Oreochromis niloticus: one gene and its partner. The protein of the gene in region 1 purifies or fractionates together with the protein of each later gene. This does not show direct contact. Links are inferred from orthologs where the notes say so. Each region holds a gene or a part of one and is shown in the gene's direction. Other genes may lie near its edges.

Region 1 (7,848 bases):
TCTTGGGAAGCGCACCGCGGTCATGAGTTCTCAGAATCGGCTCTTTGACCACAAGAATGACAATACCACGGAACTTAAGTTTGGATAACATCATAGAAAGCTCACGGCTCTCCAACGGGAGATTGAGAGACCAGTGTTGGACTGTTAGAACAGCTTTGAAATTCTTATGAGTTGTTCGCACTAAAGTAAAAACCATCATCATTTCATGCGGAGACCCCTTCGGCGCCAGCTGTGGTCTCAAGACTGGAGCTGTACAACAACACCCTGATTACAGACTGTGTTTAGACTGTTCTTCCCTTTCTATGCAAGGCCACCTGGGTTGGCTGGAAGACTATTTACTTAGCCCGGCAGGGCGAAGGACACTGTCTCAGCTGAACTCTGGACATACACACACACACGCACACAGACATATACACATGCAGATATACACTCATCCCCCCTCCCCTTCCAAACGCCTTCGACGCTTCCAATGCTGACGGTGGATCATGGAGACCAGCGCATAGGCTGCAGGCCCGGATGTACTGTCTACATTGGCTGTCTCTCACCCTTTACCCATCCCTGTTGCTTGTCATGTGTTTCTTTGGTGTATTAAGAGTTTTTTTCATGTGCTATGTGCAGAGGTGTTTTTTTCTGTTCTCAAACTGATCTCCCTGTTGGAGCTCAGTCTGGGGGGAGTTATTTTTTTCTCCTTATCTTTCCTCATGTTGTGCTTTTCCATGCTATACCCCTCTGACCTGTCTTCCCCATGTGATGTTTGTGTAATGTATGTATGGTCGGATGGGTAAGACGGCGCTGGCACGGCTGGCAGCCTTAATCCAATTTCCCTCGGGATGAATAAAGTATAATCAATCAATCTTTTAACATACAATAATTTAATAAGATAATTAAATGAAGATGGAAAATTAAGCAGAAAAACTGCTTACTGGCTCCATCTTATCTTACAAAATATGGCACATACTACACACACACACACACACTTGTACAGACAATAAGAAGCGTGGGGTGACTTCATGGTATGACCATGTCCACTTACATGGATGTGATTTTCTGCTATTGAATTCAGAAAAAACTGAAGTTATTGTGCTCAGCCCTGAAAATCTTAGAAATATAGTATCTAACCAGATACTTACTCTAGATGGCATTACCTTGGCATCCAGTAACACCGTGAGGGACTTTGGAGTCATTTTTGACCAGGATATGTCCTTTAATGCACATATTAAACAAATATGTAGGACTGACTTCGTTCATTTGCGCAACATCTCTAAAATTCAAAATATTCTGTCTCAGAGCAACGCTGAAAAAGTAGTTCATGCATTTATTACTTCTAGGCTAAACTCCTGTTATTCATTATTATCAGGATGTCCTAAAACTACCTGAAAAGTCTTCAGTTGATCTAAAATGCTGCAGCAAGAGTACTGACAGGGACTAGAAAGAGAGATCATATTTCTCCTATATTGACTTCATTTCATTGGCTCCCTGTTAAATCCAGAATTGAATTCAAAATCCACACATACAAGGTCTTGAATAATCAGGCTCCATCTTATCTTAATGACCTTATAGTACCATATCACCCCATTAGAACACCTCGCTCTTGCGCTGCAGGCTTACTTGTTGTTCCCAGAGTATTTAAAAGTAGAAAGGTAGGCAGAGCCTTCGGTTTTCCGGCCCATTTTTTATGGAACCAGCTTCCATAGAACACGTGGACCTCCATCCACATTTGAAATTTGTGACGAGGGGGGAAAATGCGCTGGATCTTCTTTACACAAACATTCCCAGAGTGTACCGAGCAAAGCCCCACCTCCAGCTCGGATACTCAGACCACTTGTCTGTTATGCTAATTCCAGGATACAGAACGCTCGTCAGACACTGCAAACTGGTTCTGAGACAGGTGAGAACCTGGCCTGCAGGAGCAATCTCTGCTCTTCGGGACTATTTTGAGCACACAGACTGGGATATGTTCAGGGAGGCAGCAACAAATGATGACTACACCAACTTGGAGTAGTACACATCATCTGTGACCAGTTACATCAGCAAGTGCATCGATGATATCCAAGATTACACGCCTTAACCAGAAACTGTGGATGACTTCAGAAGTGTGTGAGCTGCTAAAAACACAAGACTCCTTCAGAGCCAGCGACAAGGCGGCCCTGGGAATAGCAAGGGCCAAACTGTCTGGAGTCATCAGTTCAGCGAAGCGAGCACATGGCAGAAGAATCCATGGCCACTTCCCAGACAGCCGCAACACGCGGCACATGTAGCAGGCCATCAAGGCCATCATCAACTACAGGAAGAAGACACCTGGCTGTAATGGTGACGCCTCCCTACCAGATGCACTTAGCAACTTCTATGCATGGTTTGATGCTCAGAATGACGTGCTGGTGAGGAATTTTTGCACAATGCTCAGTCTTTTGGATCAGGCGACCCTGAATCCTCCCTTAGTCATGCTGCAGTAGGTATAGGCTGCTGGGGGATTCCTACAATACATTGAGTATTTCTTCTTCAGTCATCTTTCTCAATTACTATTTGTTAATAGACCTCTCTGCATTAAATCATACTTGTTATTAATCTCTGGTTCTCTTCCACAGTATGTCTTTTAACCTGTCTTCCTTCTCTCACCCCAACCGGTTGCAGCAGATGGCTGACCCTCCCTAAGCCTGGTTCTGCTGAAGGCTTCTTCCTGTTAAAAGGGAGTTTTTCCTTCCCACTGTCACCAGTGGGAAGTGCTTGCTCATAGGGAGTCATATGATTGTAGGGTCTGCCTTACAATATAAAGCGCCTTGAGGGACCTGTTGTGATTTGGCGCTGTATAAATAAAACTGAATTCAACTATGGATGTGAAAAATTCATATTTTGTAGTAGGAAAGTTGCTGCCAGTCAGGCTGAAACAATTATTTAATACGACTTGTACTTTTCACTTGATAAGCTTTTCTTTGAAACCTTCACGTCTGCCTTCCTAACACTCCTCTCAGTGGCTTTAGTCGTCATAGCAACCGGTCCCCGCAGGTGTGCAGTGAAGTCACGTTTTCTCTTTCAGGGTTATTTTATGATACCGCAGTTTTGTCCGTTTCCATATGTATGTAGACCCCATGGAGACGGGTATTCGGCTTACACACGCGTGCTCCCGTGCCGTTCTCTTGAAATCCAACAACGCATAGTTTGGCATAGGCTGAACGCTGATTGGTTGATAAGTGGGCCAAAGCAGACCCGAGAAACACGATCCGTTCTGCCATGTGCTCATGTCCTTACCTTTCACAATAAAAGCCCCTGAGTCCTGAATGCTTTGCAGTTTGACTAGAGCCATCACGCTAAGAAGCTGAATTAAATAGCTTACAAAGGTGAAGAGATTTGCAAGAGATTCTGAGGTATACATAAGAACCACATCATTGATTTAGAGGTATGAAATGAAAGACAGTAAATGATGTAACAGATTGGTGGCAGATGAAAGGGCGTTAAAAGTGGTTATCTTTCTAAAGACAAGAGCAATATTAAATGTCAACACTGAGTAACTGACTGAAATTAATATTTACCACATGTCAGAATAATTTATTAAATAAATTATCTATTTGTTTTTAAGTATTCACTGCTGAGGTTCTGATCAAAATGTTTCAACAGTGACATCTGCTGGCTAGATGGGGTAGGGCAATCCATGTGATTGTGCAGACAAGAAATCAGCAGGACTCTCACCTCTTCAGGATGTGATCTTTTACATTAATATAATGAACTTCCGTTTTTTTCCATGCTAATACTTATTCTAACAGCTGCGAAGGACTGTTAAATTAGGAGAGAATGGATTTTGAAGGGTACATTCATCAGCAAAAAAACGCACTGCTGTGGGAAGGAAAGTGCTGCTTTTGTGGCAGAGCTGCAGGCCTCTTTGCCTTAGCATTGGCACTGGATTTTGATATTGACAATGGAGTGTTTCACTGTTATTTTGGCTGTGTATTGTGATAGTCTATTTTAACCTATTTTAATAGAAACTGCCTATGCATTCAGAAAGACAAAATGAAAGGTTTTTCTACTTTTGAGTGGAAATAGATAATGTACTTACTGTATTAAGTCCTTTCATCCTCATGCTAACCCGTTACTCACATTCTATGCAGCCAGAAGCTACCAGAAAAACATCCATTAATTAGAGATGACCTATTTGTTAACAGTTCAGTTTTTTTCCACTCAGTGTGCAAATGTAATATAAACAGAGAAGCCATGCAAGTTCAGAGTGACCAAAACTCCAGATTCCAGACTCAAACAAAGTAAAATGATAACTTAATAAATGCTGACTTTACTGTTTTAGAAAAGAAAAGCGCATTTAGTCTCACATTTACTTCACTATTTATTTTACTGTAACAAAATTGGCTAAAGGTGTGTTGAGTTTAGGCAATGGAAACCACAGGCATTATGGTTGGTAACCTACTGCTAGCTTTCTGTTTAATTTGTTCTGTTTTAAAACTTGCATCGTTGTATAAAAATGATAATATTTAGGCCTATGTTAAATTCCTTATGATTGTTCTGTCATTTTACACATTTCAACAACAATTAAACAGTTAGTATGTTTAAAAAAATACACTGTCAGGTACTGTTTTTTTTTTTATTTCTCTCCAGTACACTAGAAAGTCATGATAATAGTTCTGGTAAATGTAGGATGTACATAGATTTATTTATTTTTTTAATTTTTTTTTTTTTAATTGATAATATATAGTTAATATTGGGGTGCTGAGGTGGGATTAGCGGGGGGCACCAAATTAAATTCCACTTAAGGCACCATAGAACCTTGGACCGGCTCTGAATTTGGGGTCTAACTAGTTAACAACATTCTTCCCTATACTTCAGCTTCCCCTCGGATGCACCAAGGGGAAACTGAAGTAAACGCCCACTTTTGGGAAGCGGAAGATGGGGATCTTGGGTTTCTTGCTGTAAACTGTAAGCAACCGTCTGAACTCCATTTATTTCGATGGTACATCTGCAGTAATTATGATAACTGTAAACTCCCGAAGAATGCGAAGACAAAGTCAGTGTCGCAGGCATGCGACGCCGGATGGATGGCTTGTCTAAACGTCGAGCCGACATGTGTTGACTATGGCAAACTGGTAAAAGGTAAGGACGTTTTGGCTAGCGTTAGTTACGCCGCTAGCTAACCGCGTTTAACTGCAGCAAACTTTCAGGGCAATATTGCAGGCCCTTAGTGGAGATATCGTTTACCGATACGCAAAATGAACAGTAAGGTTATATAATTCATATCTAGTTTTCGCTGTATTTTGTTTTTCGGCTAAAATTAACGCTGGTCGTGGCGCCATTTGGTGTTGATGTGCGAATATTAAAAACAAAACGCACTTGAATATCCTGTTGTGTAATATTGTGCGTCTTCATAATTGTTGTGTAACGGTTTGCGCTTCCTGTTGCCTGAAATGCGCGTGCATGTGTGTCTGTCTCTAGGTATCCCGCCCATCGCGGTGCTAACCAGCCGGCGTCTCTGCTGCCATGGAGGTGGGCAGCCTCCCCGTGGAGCTGTGGAGGGTTATCTTAGCCTATCTCCCTCTCCCTGACCTGGGCCGCTGCTGCCAGGTGTGCCGTGCCTGGCGGGAGCTCATCCTCTCTCTGGATAACACCCGCTGGAGACAGCTCTGCCTGGGCTGCCCTGAGTGCCGACATCCCAACTGGCCTAGTCAACCTCATCTGGAGCCCCCTTCGTGGAGAGAGGCCCTGAAACAGCATGCCCTTGCCACCCGCACCTGGACTCAAAATGGTCCAGAGCTCCAGTCCTCCGCTTGCCTCCTCTTCTTCCGCCGTCGGAAAGATCGCAGGGTTTGGCACGTGGGGCCGGGATGTGAGTTTGAGACCCTGCGCGGAGCCCTTGGGGTGGTGGGACCTTACGACCGAGTGGTGCTCCATCCAGGGGTGTATGAGGAGCAGGCTGAGGTAGCGCTGAAAGTACCGGTGGAGCTGGTTGGGTTAGGCCGACTAGGCGAGGTGGCCCTCTTAGTGTGTATGGAGCAGCAGTGCCCTACTGCCAGGCTGTGTAATCTGGTGTTCATGCCACCCTGGTTCTCCACGGTTGTCTACAAGGTGAAGTAGCAGCTTGTTTCCTAAGAGTCTCAGAGTCAGATTGGCCTAGTCTATACACTCCTATAAACACAAATTTCTTGAGAAAATAGAATCTAATTATAGTTCTTTGTTTCTTTCTGTCTTGCTCTCCTCTAGACATCCTGGGGACATGTCCAACTAGATAACTGCAACTTTGAGGGAGCTCAGCTGCAAGTCCGCGGGCCAGGAACCTGCCAGGCTCGGTTTTGCTCTTTCTCCCAGGGCAGCTCTGCACACTTGCTGGGAGTTGTCCTGAGTTTATTTGACAGCTGTGACTTCTCAGGAAGTGACACAGCTTCAGTGACTGTGGAAGGTCCCCCGGTCTCAGAAAGGAACTGGGCTTGTAAACATTTGGCAGCTCTGGCTAGGACGTTCCCATCATGTGGCCTATCTGAGCATAATAGTTCTCCCAAAGGACATCCGGCTGCCTCCACTGGTGGACACCAACCTCCAGGTGCTAATGTTAAAAAGGAGAGCATAACCATAGATGACTGGAAGAGGAGAACAGGGGTAGATGGGGTATGTCAGAGGACAGTGATTGAAGATGGCTGGAGTGATGGTGAGCGCAGTGAGGGAGAGGAGAACAGAGACGAGGGGGGGGCCAACAACACCAAAAAGCATTTTACACTGGAGTACAAAATCCCATGTGACCATCATGGCCTATCGCATTTGCTCAACCCCCAGCCAGATGGCTCTCTTCCGCTTTCCTCTTCCCCCGATCCCCCATCCATGATCCCTGACCCTCTCACCCTACAGCAGGAGTTAGACAGGGACCCAGAGGCTCACATGTTGGCAGCATCGACACTTGGCTGCATCCTCAGACGATGCCTCTTCAGGGACGGGAAGGGCGGTGTACATTTGTCCAATTATGGACAAGCTCGACTGGAGGAGAATGTTTTTCGTGGGCTGAACTACGCCGTGCGCTGCATCCAAAACTCCACAGTTAATAATGTTCCTAGTAACTTTGCTTCATACAAATGGCATGAATCTGTGATTGTGTATTGTGTGTATTCGGGAAACATATCAAGTTAAAGTAGCTCGGGTCATTAGTAATTTAACATCAGTGTCCTATTCAAGCTGCTACTTGATCACCTTCCTTTTCTGTCTCTCTCCTGCTTCAGATCGTAATGCTGAGAAACGAGGTCTGCGAATGTCGTGCATCAGGCGTGTTTCTGCGCCTCTCTGCTCAGGGCCTCATAGCAGAAAACAACATCCACTCGAACGGGGAGGCAGGGCTGGATATCCGAAAGGGGGCTAACCCAACCATTGTGGTAAATGCAACACAATTGCTGATTGGATTCCAACTTTTTAAAGATGCAAGCAAACAACAAAAAATTTCCTGTGATAGCATGTCCCAGACCCTTTCAGCAGCATGCCCAGATATCATGGATAAGGAGAATTTTGTTCACTACTCTTCTAACTTACTCAACTTAAGAGCTTAAGATGTTCTTGCGTGCATAAAACAAAAAGAACCAGAGTATGAATATTTATAATTTCCAGAAATGATCTATTCAGGCTTTCCAGATGAAACTAATTTCCTCAGTCTCTTTATCCACTATCAACTATTAATCCACAGTGCAACAAAATACACAGTGGTTTGCGCTCTGGGGTTGTTGTCCTTGGCAATGGAAAAGGTTCAATTCGAAGCAATCAGATTTACAACAACAAAGAAGCTGGGGTATATATTCTCTTCAGTGGAAATCCCGTGGTAAGGTAGGTTGGAGTCTGCAAGCAATTAATTTGGATATTATTCACTCTTTTCATGTTTAT
Region 2 (7,667 bases), on another chromosome or scaffold:
ATATTTACCCGTTTCAGTGTTTTGGAACAAAGTGTGCACGTCTAGCACGAATCAGCAGAGCTCTGATCAATCCCAGCAGTAAGTATCAATAAGGGTTACGCGATTTACTTTTTCTGTAATTGGGAGATACATTAGATGCATATAGTTATACATTTGTCTATTTACCCACTTGTGTTGCTTGCGTTTTATTTTATTACATTTATGAATAATAAAGATTCTCGTGGAGTGGATTAACTGAGCAAATAGAGAAGCAAAACAGATTTCCCATTGGTCTGGAAATTTCTAGCCTTTGGCCAGTTAGTCATAAACAGATGCATAAATAAACCTGTATTTCCAATAGAATATGTACACAAAAGAGAGAATTAAAGTTGGCATTAAATCGGTTTAATCAGGACTCCTTTAAAGTAACCTATTTGTTTGTAGTTTTATTTGACAGATTGACTTTCCTTTTGGTTTTATTTTGTTTTAAAACATTTTCTCCTACTTTTCAGCCACTTGAGGGCGACATTGACGTTAACACAAAGAACACTTTTTAAATAAAAAAAAAAAATCTTTCTTATAGTAACTGCCTGTTTCCTGGGATCTCCTCCACGCTCTTGAGTCTGTGCTAGGAGACATACCAATGATATTTATTGATGAGCTGCACTGGAGGAGTTGGCCTATCTGTGCGACCTTTGTAGGGTCCAGGTCTGGTTTGTGTCATTGTTGCTGCTCTTAATTTCATTAAGTCTGGTTTGTGTCATTGTTGCTGCTCTTAATTTCATTAAGTCTGGTTTGTGTCATTGTTGCTGCTCTTAATTTCATTAACACCAAAGCAGCTGAACCTCATTAACCCCATCTGCTACTTCACTGACCACTTGAGGGCGACATTAACATGAACAATTTGTTCATATTAAATGTGTGTGGAACTTTTCAATGACTGGTCTGGGTGTTTTAACTGAAAAATTTTTTAGCGCTACTCCAGTATTGCATTGATGCTTAAAATAAACATCCTAGGAATCAGGTTTAACTTCAGAATAATTTTAGGATGTCAAATTAATTTGACCACATTAATGAAGTGACCCTAGCAGCAATTTGATGAAATCACTTTTAGAGATTTTGTTTGAATGTTTAAAGGAAAAGCTACGGAGATTGTTACGCCTTTGAAATCCAGCTTTCATCTGTGACCTGCAGAGGATGGCCTGAACCAGTTTATCTCTGGGCACTTGTTACTTTAAGGTTTTTGTCACAAAGAAACTGGGGCTTTGTGTGGTGTCAGTGATCCGACAATAAACTCATTAACTGACTTTGAGTTTGTGAATTAACATTACACAAACTTCCCTGACAACACGTGCTAACTATTAGGTTAGCATGTGTTAGCATTCTATGATTCATTGGTTACACACATGGAACTCATGTTTGCATAACACATCCCTCTATTCCAGGTACCAAGGAGAACAGGAATGACAAGATTATGGTTTGCATAAACCTCCAAGGTATATGCGCTTTCCAGTACGTTTTTTCATTCATTCTTGCGAAATACTACAGAAAGGTGCAGCTCATGATTTCCAGACCTTATCATAAGGGAGGATTGCTCAGAATCTTCTGTTTACATCATATTTGTAGCCCCCGACAGCTGAGCGGTTGTGGAAACAGCCTGACTCATGTATGCTCTAACGTTCTGGTTGAATGGTGTTTTGGAAGTATCATTTCCAAAGCCTTCGCAAGGAACTACAAGCAGGAACGTGGTGCATTCTCATTGGTGCAACTGCTTAGACGCAGAGGTGTCAAACTCCAGTCCTTGAGGGCCAGTATCCTGAATCTTTTACATGTGTCCCTGCTCCAACACACCTGAATAACATTAGTAGGTCATTAGCAAGACACTATAGGTCTTGACTGCATGCTGAGGTGGCAACCACTAATCCTACTCAAGTAAATTTAAATAAATTTTAAGTGTTTGGAAAAATGTACTTTTAAAAATACTTTTATTGCACCATGTTCATTCATTCATTAGCTGCTGTAACATGAATCAAATGGCTGAATTGCTACCTCAGCATGCAGTCAAGTTCTATAGTCTCCCTAATGACCTACTAAGTTTATTCAGGTGTGTTGCAGCAGGGACACATGTAAAAGTTACAGGATACTGGCCCTCGAAGACTAGAGTTTGACACCTGTGGCTTGGAGGAACAAAAGAGTCAAACACAAAAGTATATCTTATATGTAAAATTACAAAGAGTTAGACAATTTTTTAAAGTAGTTTTAAAAAATAGTTCTTCAGGTTTTCTGAAGGATTTTTGTCACATTTTTCTTTAGACATTGTCTGCTTTTTCAGTCATTTTCAGTCCAATTTGTGTATCTGACCATTTTCAAATGAATAATTTTTGTTTGTTAAGACACTCAACACTGACCTATAACTTATCTAAGCATAGAGCATCAAAGTTAACACAGTTTAACAAATATGTTTTGGACCAGTAAGGTCATTCTCAAACAGCTATTAGCTGAAAACCTTGCATATGTTGACCTTAGAAAATCTGAGGAAACTGGAAATGCAGAGGACAAAAGAAGAAGTGGTAGGCTCCAACAGAAAAAAAAAAAAAAAAAAGACTACAGCAGGTGAGCAGTACCTGAAAGTCATGTCCTTGATGGAAAAAAATAAAAATAAATCAAGCCTGTGGGATCCGTGTGCAACGTCTGACTGCTATAATATCCCAAATTATACAAGGAGTAGGCTGAAAATCAATGACAACAGGTCTGTTTCCAAATGTGAAAGTTTTGGTTCAAATTGTTGTCCCTATGTACAGAGGAGGGCAGGAGGGTGGTACAACAATAAGTATCTCAAGCCATTTGTAAAGCATGGTGGAAGCTCTATGATGGTTTTGGGCTACATGTCAGGCACTCTTCTTGGGGTGGAATGATCACTTCAGAAAAGTACCATCACATTTCGATCCATCATGAAATACCATCTGAAAAACATTTGATTGGCAACAGTTTCATTGCTCAGCATGACAATGATCCCAAACACACTGCCAATGCAGTAAAATCTTATCTGGATAGAAAAACACACAATGAACAATATCAGACATGGATTGGCCTCCCCAGAGCTCTGACTTCAACATTATTGAAGCAGTGTGGGATCATCTTTATATAGAACAGAACAAAATGCAGTCAACATCCAAAGAAGAACTTTGAACTTCTTTCAAAAAGCCTGGGGAACTATTCCTGAAGACTACTTAAAGAAATGTCAAGAAATCTGACTAAGAGAGTTTTGGTGATTATGTCAAATATTGACTTTAAAGCTTAAAATACAATCTCTGCTTTCAATTCATAGGCTCTATTACCATGTATGTGTGTATACTGATTTTGCATGTAGCCAAGATTGACTTCATATTTCCACATGTGCACTTGTTTCAATAAATAGCTGCACCCATTTCCAGTTTCCCTAACAAAATACAAGGAAGCTGCCTATTTATCATGGGTTGCCGGAAACTTTTGCACAGTACTGTAGGGAGTCATTTTGTCAACTCAGTGATTTTACAATAGAATGTGGTGATAAAGATGATGAATCTTACCTAAGTTGTTGTATTGTTATTGTGGATGAGTGCTCTCATGCACTGAATTTGAAAAAAATAAATAAAAATCCAACATCCCTTGTTTCCACAGCTGACTTGTGCCTCAGTGATGGGATGTTTATTTGCTTTAAAAGAGTTTTCTCTTTCTCTCTCTCTCTCTCTCTCTCTCTCTCTCTCTTTGTTTTTTTTTTTTTTTTTTTTTACATCACAGAGTGATATGCCGTTGTGCTTTCATTGTTTTTCTTGGATTTACTTCTCCAACTCCTACAGTTTTGAGCTTTTCTGGATCTATTCCATGTTTCATAGGTAAACTCGCTACTGATACATGATTTTAAATAATCTTGTTCAGGCTAAGGACTCCATAGTCCAGTAATCAGCAATCAGTCTGTGCTGTATTTACGTACCTATTTATCCATCGATCTATTTACAAGGGGGAATGGTGCTTGTAGAATTTTCAGTGACATTAATAAATACCAAATCAGGCACACATCAAAGCAGATTCATAAATGTAAAAACCAGGTTTCAGTCTAATATTATACGAGGTTATGTGAGTTCCATTATATATAAACATAAATTATCAGATCTCAACTGGATTTATGTAAGCTGCATAATATGTAAACAAATGATCTGATTTCAATTATCAGATCTATCTGCAAAATATATTAGATAAGAGTGCAAGTACGGTAACTTTATTATTATTATTATTATTATTATTATTATTATTATTTTGCTTTTGTTTGGATGTAAACTTCGGAAAAATACACACATAACCATTACATGATGAAAGAAAAATACAGGTGCTGTAACAGAGCCAGAGAACATACGCATTACTGACTTCCTGTTACCTTTTTCTTTTTCTTTTTTTCTTTTTGTTTTTAAGCGGACGTAGCATAAAAGAGCGCAAATCCGCTTTGGCTGCTCATTGGTCGAGAAATATGGAATCAGATGACGTAGTGGTTCCGGGTTTCTAGGTCCCGACAAAAGGTAACTTTCGGTCATTTGCTAAAGAGCGGCACACGGCTGACCGGGCTTTCTTCAGCTGAAGGTAAGAATGCTGCCAGTCTGCCAATACAGCAGGGTATCACTCTCTATCTGACTGCTGTAATCTCATTAGAGCCTTTATCCGTTAGTTAATGTGTGCTGCTAATATTGAGCGGGTTTAAGCGACAGCAGCTAACGTTAATCAACTTGCCAGTGAGACTCGCCGTGCCAGCAACGTGCGGCGGCTTTTGTCGTCATTTCGTCTGCCATGCCGCTCCTGACCCATTGTCGTTTCACTGCTAGATAAGGAGGTCAGATTTGCTTCCCAGCTCGCCTTATTTTGAAGCAGACCAATTATGTAAAGGGGGCGAGAAAGTCGCTTTAATTTTAATTACAGCTCGTATTGCTTTTCATGGTGTTTTAGGGTAACGTGTTACAAGTGGAAACCGCAGACCCCGGCTACAACTTTAGCATTTCCCGGTATTAAACTGTCGCTTTTGTTAGCAATATCTGCCCTAAACGGATATGCAGTGTTGGGCTTTTACCGTTAGATAACGTGTTATCACTTACAACTAGATATAGACGTGTGAGGAGATTTGCATCGAACCACTCACTCCCGTATTCCCGTGTAAAATGATTTTAATTTACTTTTATTCAATTCCACCCAAGAGAGAGAGAAAAACTAGTGTTTTAAGCTAGTGAACCATGGCTTTTCCATCATCATCACCATCACCACGTCCTGTCATCACACAGGAATGTTTTCAGGGTATTTTTATTTCCACAAGTAAGAGCCCAGAAAAAGATCCTGACATATAAATATTTCTATCTCCGCCGCTTTGATTCATGTGTGGGTGTACTATCATTCTTTAAGATGTATGGACAGATGTGACGTACACGGAGGATATGATTCACTGAAATGTGACTCACGATGAAGTGTGTAAGCTTTCAGGATTGGGAAAGCCAGTTACGTGGTTTGACCTTCTTTTTGCATAAATGTCTTAATGTAGCCAAGTACACACTGTTCTTTTATTTACAGGTAACCGGTGTCTGTCTTGTGCCATAAAGCAACTTTCCACATAATAGCTGACTGCCGTAGGCTACAATTACTTTGTCACGTGCTAAACGGGTTCAGCCACAGAGCAAACATGTGGATATTGACTACATTTTGCAATTATGAGACGCAGTTTGTTTTAACTACTTTACCGCCTCTGCACTCTAAGGATATCAGCAAGCTGAGCTTGCTCTATAGTGACCCTTCCCTGACCACCAAGTGGGGTGAGCCTAAAGAGTATTGTCATTGGTTGTCTGCAGCACGATCCTCATTGGACAGTAGCCAGTCTGGTCAGTGTGACCACATCTCCGCACTACTTCATCCCTCCATGACCTTTCAGTTAACCTGTTGTTTAAAAGCAGGCAGGTGTTTGAGTGCAACAGAGGACATTATAACGAGCTGAGCACTGAAAGCTTTCAGACATACAGAGGCGGTTTGGTACGCAGCGAGGAGGTGGTGAGGCTGTGGATACTTGCCATGTGTAGTGCAGTCTTCCTGTCTGTAAAGAAGAGGTAGCACAGTGGTGGAAGGGTTTAGATAAGCCTGAGATACTGATGGTTAATGGTTCACTTTTTATTTTCAATCTAGTGTTTTGTCAGAGTTCTGTCATTTCCTTTAAGCAAGAAGTCAACCGCCAGGCGAACTTGGTTAACCACCCAACTTCCCTTTTGTGACATCTCTTGGCATGCGATAGATATTTGGGTGAAAATCAACTCTCTCTTGCTTTTGACATCTAACTTGAGTCATTTAAGTGATCTCACAGGCAGCTGATTAATGAACTGTATCAATTGATTGTGTTTTTTGTTTGTTTTTCTTTTCTGTCTCAACTTTAGCTTAAGCATTTTGTGGACCAAATATTTACATACTACAACTGTGGGACTCTTAAGAGTTTAAGAGCTTTTTTCTCTCTTCCCGTCCAACACAATTCTCCTGACGCACCTCAAACATCTTTGGGACCAGCAAGCTCGACACCTTTCTGATAACCTGCTGCTCAGCTCCCTTCCAGAGAAAAGCATGGGTCTTCAGTCAGACTCTGTCCTCCAATCTATCCTCCTTTTTCCAATCCACCTTATCATATGGCTGTACTCAATAGTATCATTCCTGCCTTGGTACTACCTCACCGGAGCTGGCCAAAGAAAAGCTCTGTCCAAGAGGATAAAAGCCCGTTCCAAATCAGGTTGTGCCGAGGGACCATACCGCTCCGTGGACCAATTTGATTCCCTGGCCAGGGAAGACTTCCCAGGCAAGGACACACTCGATAAGCTGTTTAAGCATGCTGTGCAGCGTTTCGGCGAAGCTGACTGTCTAGGAACCCGAGAGATTCTGAGCGAAGAGAACGAGACTCAGCCCAGCGGCAAAGTTTTTAAAAAGGTAAGGTTGCTCAGTTTACTGCTCTGTTGACAGATGCTTAAGTGATCAGAGATGTTCGGTGTTATTTATGTGACCCTTTCCCCTTTTAGGTGATCCTAGGGGAGTACAAATGGTTATCCTACAATGAGCTCGACTCCATAGTCAATGAGTTTGGCAGTGGATTGGCGGCTTTGGGGCAGCAACCCAAAAGCACTATTGCGATCTTCTGTGAAACCAGAGCAGAGTGGATGATCACTGCTCAGGCATGCTTTAGGCGCAATTTCCCACGTAAGTATATCTCAGCGCGTTCAATCCAAGATTTTGGGGTCAGATAGCGTGAATGCTGTGTTAAGTGTTTCATAATTTAATGCTCTCACTCACTGAAATCCTTTTAAAAAAAATATTATTATTGCAGTGGTGACGTTCTACGCAACACTGGGGGAGGATGCAATTGCTTTCGGACTGAATGAGACGGATGTTTCACATTTGGTCACCAGCGTGGAGCTCCTTGAGACTAAGCTGAAAGTGAGTTAATCCTTTACAGCACATGGTCCAACCACCACTCCTAAGAACAAGAGAAGCAGTGATATGATTATTCTCATGAGATGTCTTTGTTTACCATCTAACCAGCCTCAATTATCATCACATGATTATAATTTAAGATGTAGCAAATTGTTAACATTAAAGTTTGGAAAACCCAGAATAATATTTTTGTCCACAGCTTCATGGATGAAATA

The links. The genes of interacting proteins can lie anywhere in the genome.
Region 2: the proteins of fbxo10 (region 1) and acsl4a purify together in Homo sapiens (affinity purification with western blotting; 3 studies listed by BioGRID, with this or other methods). This does not show direct contact. The link is inferred for Oreochromis niloticus from reciprocal best matches to the Homo sapiens genes FBXO10 and ACSL4.

Annotation. Positions count from the first base shown.
Region 1 is NC_031971.2:22,576,756-22,584,603, reverse strand, and holds the start of fbxo10 (F-box only protein 10), read left to right. Parts: upstream 1-4,787; 5' UTR 4,788-5,091; intron 5,092-5,430; 5' UTR 5,431-5,475; coding exon 5,476-6,060; intron 6,061-6,195; coding exon 6,196-7,020; intron 7,021-7,199; coding exon 7,200-7,349; intron 7,350-7,654; coding exon 7,655-7,791; intron 7,792-7,848. UniProt on the Homo sapiens protein: Substrate-recognition component of the SCF (SKP1-CUL1-F-box protein)-type E3 ubiquitin ligase complex. Mediates the ubiquitination and degradation of BCL2, an antiapoptotic protein, thereby playing a role in apoptosis by controlling the stability of BCL2.
Region 2 is NC_031966.2:30,936,018-30,943,684, forward strand, and holds the start of acsl4a (long-chain-fatty-acid--CoA ligase 4), read left to right. Parts: upstream 1-4,444; 5' UTR 4,445-4,593; intron 4,594-4,601; exon of another isoform or gene 4,602-4,626; intron 4,627-5,747; exon of another isoform or gene 5,748-6,282; intron 6,283-6,413; 5' UTR 6,414-6,594; coding exon 6,595-6,951; intron 6,952-7,040; coding exon 7,041-7,218; intron 7,219-7,345; coding exon 7,346-7,455; intron 7,456-7,667. UniProt on the Homo sapiens protein: Catalyzes the conversion of long-chain fatty acids to their active form acyl-CoA for both synthesis of cellular lipids, and degradation via beta-oxidation. Preferentially activates arachidonate and eicosapentaenoate as substrates.